Caenorhabditis elegans: one gene and its partner. The protein of the gene in region 1 interacts with the protein of each later gene in a pairwise test. Each region holds a gene or a part of one and is shown on either strand. Other genes may lie near its edges.

The links.
Region 2: the proteins of F39H11.1 (region 1) and oma-2 interact in a two-hybrid assay, tested with the Caenorhabditis elegans proteins (2 studies listed by BioGRID).

What each region holds. Positions count from the first base shown.
Region 1 is NC_003279.8:8,694,375-8,698,188, forward strand, and holds F39H11.1 (Craniofacial development protein 1), read left to right. Parts: upstream 1-2,228; 5' UTR 2,229-2,232; coding exon 2,233-2,331; intron 2,332-2,379; coding exon 2,380-2,612; intron 2,613-2,659; coding exon 2,660-2,704; intron 2,705-2,779; coding exon 2,780-2,942; intron 2,943-2,991; coding exon 2,992-3,126; 3' UTR 3,127-3,222; downstream 3,223-3,814. Other genes in the region: K07A12.5 (Pre-mRNA-splicing factor SYF2), read right to left, coding at 1-100, 147-284, 400-511, 564-705, 749-770; pbs-7 (Proteasome subunit beta), read right to left, coding at 989-1,270, 1,348-1,459, 1,505-1,683, 1,735-1,840, 1,887-1,918.
Region 2 is NC_003283.11:8,027,226-8,031,719, forward strand, and holds oma-2 (CCCH-type zinc finger protein oma-2), read left to right. Parts: upstream 1-2,213; 5' UTR 2,214-2,283; coding exon 2,284-2,321; intron 2,322-2,369; coding exon 2,370-2,525; intron 2,526-2,573; coding exon 2,574-2,795; intron 2,796-2,839; coding exon 2,840-2,987; intron 2,988-3,032; coding exon 3,033-3,249; intron 3,250-3,294; coding exon 3,295-3,695; 3' UTR 3,696-3,989; downstream 3,990-4,494. Other genes in the region: F43H9.4 (Glycine N-acyltransferase-like protein), read left to right, coding at 539-680, 737-948, 1,064-1,172, 1,220-1,281, 1,330-1,492; vars-1 (valine--tRNA ligase), read left to right, coding at 4,231-4,319, 4,362-4,438, 4,485-4,494. UniProt on the Caenorhabditis elegans protein: Zinc-finger RNA-binding protein that binds to 5'-UA[AU]-3' motifs in the 3'-UTR of maternal mRNAs to suppress translation in oocytes and embryos.

The DNA of each region.
Region 1 (3,814 bases):
CTGCTTGGGACTTTTTTATGTTGTCCTGTTTATCTTTCCTTTGCTCCAAACTGATTTTCTGTTTCTTACGAAGAGCGTCCAGTTCCTTTTCACGAGCTGCCTAAAGTTCATGGTTAAAGTAAATTTCTCTATAATCTCTATGTTACGTGATCACGAATCGACACAAACTTTTTTTGTGGAGCCAAAGTGGATAAGTAGTATTCTTTCAATCGTCCAAATTCTACATCAACTTTCACTCCTTGACGATTGACAACCGTATTGGCTCGTTGCATCTTTGGATGGCGCTGAATTTCAAGAAATAATGTATTTCTTTTTAACTTTTTAGATGGATAGTAAAAACCGTAATTAAGCACTTCCTTTGCGCGGCGAGATATATATATATATATACTGTATGCTTACCACGTCTGAATTTTTCGATTTCGAAACGTATTGAGACTGCGTATGAAAGATTTCAACTACTTGCTCCTTTCGAAATTCTTCCCAATTTTTCAGTTGTTTCTGAGCATCCTTCCTGGAAACCAAATCAGATAAGTTATTACATATACATCAATTTATTTAATTACTTGTGAGTTTCATACTGATCATCACTCAGTTTATACCGCTGCTGCATCTTCTTTTTGTAGCTCATCTTCTTCGCCTGTTTCTTTTCATAATCAGATTTCTGTTTATCAGGCGATGGTGATAAACTGAGCTTTTGGAGTTTACCTGAAAGCGCTCGATTTTACTTTAAACCAAAAACTCATCATACTTTTTAAACCAGAGAAATTCATGCTCGCTATTTTTGACTCGAGCACTTGTGAAATGATGCGTGTGAATACTTAGACGTGAATAGAAGGATTAAATGGAAGTTTATTTATCGACTTCACGCGAAAATAAATAAAATTTACACCGAAAACGTGGGTTGGAGAGAGTAAAATGTTTTGAAAAGAAGGATACAAATAAGTTAAACATGGAGATACTGAAACGCATCCTGCACACCGGGGAAAACTTATTCATATTGACAGTTAGTCTCGGCAATCGACCAGTCACCAATAATCTTCTCTTCTTTACCCAAAACGACACCTTCTGTCGCATCAACACGTCCGATTTCGAACTCATTGTCAGCGACGCAGTCGTGGTAGAGAGTAAGTTCAAGCGATTTGCGAAGCACGGCTTCTGCCTCTTCACGGGAGAGGTCTTCTCCCTTCTTTCTCCACTCATCTTCAACAGCTTGGTTGAGGAGGAACGCTCCAAGTCCAGTTGCAATGTGCTTCACTTGATATGCGCATCCCTGAAATTTAGAATAATTATTATGTGATTATTTAATCATGAGATTCTGATCCGGCAAGTTAACGCTTTCAAGTTTACCTTCTGAGTAATGACACCGATGAAAGGTGTGCTAGTCTCCTTGTTGTTCTTCTCCTCCTCTTCGACTCCGGCGACAACAAGTGTGTTCCACACTGGGTTCATCTTGCAACGTCTGAAATTTTTTACTTAAACTTTCAATTTAATTAGGAAAACAGACTTGGCGTAGAGAAGGCTTGTGAGGTATCCGTGGAGAGCTTTTGGTCCAATATCCTGATCGAAGCGCTTCCAGAGAAGAACCTGACGCTCGATCACATTTTGAAGCCAGTGGAAGTCAGCGTGATCTCCTCCGAAGGCAATGAGAACATTATCATTGACCTTGTATTGACGAGAAACATTCTGGAAACAAATATTATGAAAATCCACTTTCAGCTGAACGGAAATTCAAACCTTGTAACGAGCCATTTTTCCATAGGAAACAACTCGATCAGTAAGGACAACAACCCCAGTTTTATACTGGAGAGCGATAACCGATGTTCCGGTACAAGTAGGATTCCTGAAAAATTGAGTTAATTCAAACGAATATAGGTTTAATGACTTACAGTGTGCGCTGGACTTCGTCGTGAGCATTCATTTTGGTTCTGAAACAATATAAATGAAGTTTTTGAAGGGAGTGCTTTGAAAAAATGAAAGGAAGTGAATTTCGACAATGAAATGCAAAAATGGCGGCTAAGTCATCATAAAGCATGTGCGCTCCGTCGAATTTTACACTGAATACCACGCACAATTGCGTACTTCAATAAGAAAAATTATCTCGCGCTACTTTTTTTGAGATAATATTATAATATAAATTAATTCATATTTTATAAATATATTAATTCATATTTTATTCTTTTGAATTCTCACTGAAATTGTGAAACTATTTAAAATATAAATTGTTTCAGAAAAATGACCTCGGAGCTTAAAAATAACGAAGAAGACTACAACTCATCGTCCGATGAAGATTACGATCCAACAAAGGATACCGATTTTGATCCAAAGGATGAAGTAAGCATTCCTAGATATCGCCCTTTTATTGCTCATTCTCCTCAACAGATCGATGATCAAGAAGAATGCGAAGATGGAATTGACGAAGAAGTTGAACATCTGAAAAATGAAAAACAAAGTGACGACCATACATCAGAAAAGGCAAACAGTACTGAAGGAAGTGTTGATGTGGATGCGATATTTGCAGAATTAACTGGGCTAGCACCGAAACCAGTTGTCAACGATACATCAAGCAAGAATATTCCAAAAACTGAAGAAAGGGTGTATCCAAAATCAGCAGCGTATGTTTGAAACAAGTAGAAATAACTTTTAAAAATGTATTTTACAGATCTGCATCCAACGAGTCTACAAATCAGAAGGTTTATCCGAAAAAGTGAGTTGACATGAGTTTTTATTTGATACAAATTTAAAAACAACTTTTTCTTATTTTTCTAATAATTTTTTTCAGAACGGAAACAGCTGGAACATCGTCTGAAAGTAGCATTGTACCCGGAAAGAAAAGAGTCGGCTTGCTTGATGCTGCAAAATCACTGTCGAAGCGTTCTAAAATTTCTGTTTTGGAGAAATCTGATCGAGATTGGAAAGATTTTACGACGCAAAATAATTTAAAAGTATGTTTCTTTAAGTTTAAGGTTTTTGAATAAATTGTTTGTTTTTCAGGAAGATTTGGAATCTCATAACCGAGGGAAAGGCGGTTATCTGAACAAAATGGACTTCTTAAACCGAGCTGATAATCGCCAGTTTGAAAAAGAACGAGCGTTCCGTGCAACAGCTCGTAAGGACACTGGACAGTAAATAATTCTTTATTTTTTCAATTGAATCTTTTTTGTGATTTTCTGGTTTCTTTGACAATTCGTAACTTTGAAAAATTCATAAACCTTCTGTAAAGATACGGACATTGAAATTTAATCATGAACATATTTAATGGACAAAAACGAGAAAAATGGTAAAGGGAGACAATAACTAAATCTAGAAAAAGGATGAATCATGAAAAGGGAATTGTAGAAAAATCACATTCTAAAATAATTAAAATGAAATACAACAACTTTGGGAAAAGGTAGGTTACAGTTTTATAATACGAACTCGTTTGTTTTTAAGGACTTTTTGTGGAATTTTTGCGAATTGTTTCAGAACAAAAAAAAATCTGCTACTTGTTTTTAAAACTGGGATTCATGAGGAAAAATAGATAATGGAAAATAAGGAAAAATTAAGATTTGCTGGGCTTGAGGGGAACATGATGAAGACATGAAGTAGAGAGCACATAGTGGGATGTGGAGAGAGAAAGAGCTAGAAGGAAGCGAGAATTGTTTTTCTGATCATTGTGTTAATTTTACAAAAAAATGGATAGGAGATTGTGTTGATTCGATGATGACTTATGATGTTGATGATGGTAACGGCAAACAGAGAAAGAAAAGAACAGGAAAAAAGCGGATAAAGCATGAATTTTGAAGCACACAGAACAATTGAAAGAACAAGATATACT
Region 2 (4,494 bases), on another chromosome or scaffold:
GAAAATAGGGAGAAGAATACTGTAGATATATAAAATTTCTACAAAATTTAAATTCTTTTTACCAAAACCCAAAAATTTTCGAAAACGAACGAGTTACTGTACGAAGTTTGTATATATGCCCGCATAAACCTAGATAAGTAAGGTTAGAAAGCAACTTGAAATTTTCAATGTAGAGAATGTATTTGACTTGCCAACAACTTTGCCATTTCCTCCCGTTTCAAACTACAAAAACATGAACTTTCAATACATGGGACAATTACTTTATAAGTAGGTACACGCGACCCTAAACTTTGTTCACTTTGAAAAAAAAGTGAATTCCGTTTTAAATGTCCATGGCTGACTACATTTTTCCGTATCTTCACTCATGTTTTTCCGATTCGACCGTAATATTTGATAAGATCAAACATTTCCATGACAATCCATTCCTAAACCAGTTTTTCTTCATTTTCAAAAACATTTTTCAGTATCACTAAAGACCTTTTCCCACCTTTTGCTATCTCTTTTTTTCAATTCGAAATTGACCTTCGCACCTTTTCAGAGACCGTCAAATTCTGACACACGATGGAAAGTTTCGAGAAGAAGACTTTCTGGCGGTTTTTGATGAATTCTGTAAAACAAATGGATTGTTTGCTGGCTCCAATGCTCCATCAACTGTAGCCGAGAAATGTTACACTAAAGCGGTAATACACAATGAAAACAGAACAAAGGTTAATAGATAAGAAACGTTTGATTTTAGATTGAAAAGTACATGAAGAAAAACAATATTAATGCAGAGGTGCAAAACAAATCAACACACTTTTTTGCAATGAATGAAAGTCAAATTTTCAAATATAGAAATTATGGTGATACAACATTACCTGATGGATACTCAATTGATATACCTGAATCAACAAATGATGTTATGAAGATTGTAGGATCATCTATCACACCAAATGCAAAATTAGTAGAGTGAGTTTTTGGATCAGGAAATTAAAAACCAACAGTACTAGATTTATATCATTTTCTCACAAAATCGAGAAATCGTAAAACAACAGTTACATGGAAAAATAGGAATTTTTTTCAGAGAAAAACTTCGACGGTTCCCATCGCTCTGCGTTCGTAAAGGCGACGAACTTGTTGGATTCATTTCTTCAGAAACTCACGGAGCACTTGCTCATTTGCATGTCTTTGATGTGAGTTTTACTATTTTCAAATTGAATATTTTCAAATCTGTTTTTAGGGGCATCGTGGTAAAAATCTTGGAGAGAAGTTGGAGATTGGAGCTGCTAAAATGGCTATTGAGTGAGTGATTTTTTGACAAAGGACTGTGGAAAAATGATAATATTTTAGAAATGGAATGCGTCCATGCAAGTTCATCGACACAACAAACAGTTTCTTCTTGGAAAAAGCAAAAAAGTCAAAGTTGATGGATGTTGTTGAGTCCAATGGAACACCGCTAGTTTTCGACCAAAATGTTTATTCCCAGGCGTCAAATTATGGAATGCACAAGTGATTTTAATAGGAATACAATGAACTTACAATAAATCAAATATACATGTAAATATTGAATAAAAATTCGAATACCTTCCAGCAAGTATATTTGCAAAGTAATGTTCTTTTACAGCTAGATTTTGGTCAGACAGTGTTGTTGAAAATTTTTTAGTCGAGAAAATCTAGTTATTCGCTGTTTATGAGTTACTTTTTCAGACAATTACACAATTTCCATGCTTGCTAAAAAAAAATTATTAGTTACAGTAACCTTTAAAGGCGCAGCAGCGGGGAGTGCACATCTCAAACGAGTGTGACCGTAGTCATTGGTGAAAATTGGCAACATTTTCTTGCAAGTTTTTTGACTTTGATTCAACCATAAATTTCAGACTTAATTCTAAACTTAAGTATTAAAAAATAATTATTTGATCTTATTTAGCGCGCATTGCCGCCAAACATTGACTTTTTGTTTCGAAATTTTGGGACAGAGATGGTTTTCTTCAGTTTTCTTTTGTTCAACAACATTTGGTTCTGTTCATTCATTTATTTCATTCAGAAGGATTTTGGCCCGTTTATTTGAATTTTAAAAGAGCTTATTTCTGAATTACGTCGCTTAAAACAATAATTTTATACCGTTTTGGCGCATTCGTTTTTTCTCGTTAAAAACTTATTTCTTTCATTCTTTAGACGGTTGTTATTCATTGCTCGCGGAATCTTACCATTTTTAAAATTTCTTTAAATTTCAGGGAATCAATTAACCGAGCACCCCACGCCTAATCACTAACCACCCATTTCCCCTGCACTACTAACGAAATAATGGATATGCTCAAGGAAAATGTTATCCAGAATAATGAGTGAGCCACTTTTATCATAGTTTCTCAATTTTAATTTTCTTTTTTAAGGGCTCGTACAGAGTCGAGTGTTGAACCATCGCATCCCGATATGATGGAGACTGTTCCGGAAGAACAGCAAAAACCGATTTCTCATATCGACGATTTGCTTTCCGAGACCGCTAACCTGATGGCTGTCAAGGAGCAGCTTCTCAAGGAGATTGCTGAGTAATTCTATAGGATAAATGGACTGTTTCTTAAATTTTATCTTCTCAGAAACGAGCATATTCATTCGATGCAAATGAGAGCTCTTCAAAATCTTCCACAGGAAGCTATTCTCCCACTGCAATATCATGCTGATCCAAGACGCCGTCACCGAATGCAAAAACCGGAATCGTACAAGACTGTCATATGTCAGGCTTGGTTGGAGTCGAAGACATGTGCTTTCGCGGAGAACTGTCGTTTTGCTCACGGCGAAGAGGAGCTTCGTCCATCTCTGTTGGTTTGAACATTGAATTAAGATTACACAACATATTTTACAGGATCGAGGCACGTCAAAACAATAAGTACCGGACGAAGCTCTGCGATAAGTACACTACTACTGGGTTGTGCCCATATGGAAAACGCTGTCTTTTCATTCATCCGGACAATGGACCAAATGCATACATTCGAGCCGATAAATTGTTCGAGGTAAGATAACTTTTTAATTTTCCACTTTAATCAAATCTTCAACAGGTTTCGCAACGTCATGCTTTGGCCGACCTTCGCGATCAAATGGAGCATCATATCATGAATGGAGGTCGTTCTACAGCCGGCCCTCAACAATTTGATATGTTTGCAAGGCCATGCACACCAGATGAGCCAGCAGCAAATATGCCATTGGGTCCAACCCCAGTTAGCATTCGTGGACCACGATACGAGTTGCCATCGAAGAAGCCACTTGAGACTGAGGGTATGAAAATTGAATATTGATGATTAATTCAAAATAATTTTACAGAAGCCGGGAATCGCCCACCATCAAGCTGGCCGTTGGATCCATCAACTTTCTTCGCATTGGATAGTCTGAATATGGCAACTCGTCCAATCAGTCCGTTTGAGTCTATGCTTATTGGAGCAGCCGGGAACATGCAATACTCTATGCTTGGAAAACAATCAACACCGGGAGGAGTTTCGGGATATTCTTCCTCTGGATCAACTCCGTCTCAAGATAGTGATTCGTCTCCACTCACAGCTGCTTCTGCTGCTGCAGATGCTGCCTGCCAAGCCAACTCGGAGTCTGCTCAGTCTATTCTTCTGAAGTCTATCAACAATCCGATGATTGGAAACGAGACAACTCTTCCAATTCCTGGACTTGATCAACTTGCCATGGACATTGCCAAGCACCTTGAATTGTGGTGAATAACCACCTCCTTCCCCATCTATTTATACATTTTGTCAAATTGCCATACGTTTTTATGTCCCATACTAACTATAATAACGCGCGCAATTTGTAAATATAATAAGCTCAATGTTCCTGTCATATAGAAAGCACGCTCGCTCCCCCCATCTCTCGCAGGCTCTGAAACTAAACTTGAATTATTTTGCTGCATTTTATTATATCGGATATCATTGCATGTATTTTCAATTCCCTCCAAATATAAATTGCTCGTATCCTCTCCCCACACTAACAATCAATAAACTTTATCGAATGTCAATCAATGTTTTTGAAGACCATCTGGAAATAACGTTTTTTCACGAAGATATCTGATTTTCAATTATAGAATTGCAAAATAATTTCTGAAATGTTTCGTTTGACAAAAAAATATTTTTTAATCTTCCCTCCAATTAGTTTCGCGACAGGGCGCATTTGCTTCGTCCAGACGAGCGTTAATTTTTCAACAGATTGAGCGCATTCTTTCTTTTAAATTATTGTTTGTGGTTTCAGGTGAAATAAATGGGTAAATTGAATCGATTAGCACTTTTTCATCGTTCAAGAAGGCAATGTGCTTACTCACCGACAATTATTACACGTGAAAGTAGTAGGTAAACGATAAACTAAGAAAATAAAATAACTAATTTTTTCAGCTCCTTTAACATCGACGAGGTAACACAAAATTTTGAACAAAGAACAGAGTTTGCCGCTGCAAATTATCGAAAGAATGGTCAGATTTCCTTGATAATAGTTCTAGGCAAAAAAATATTTTTCAGGCAGTCTATT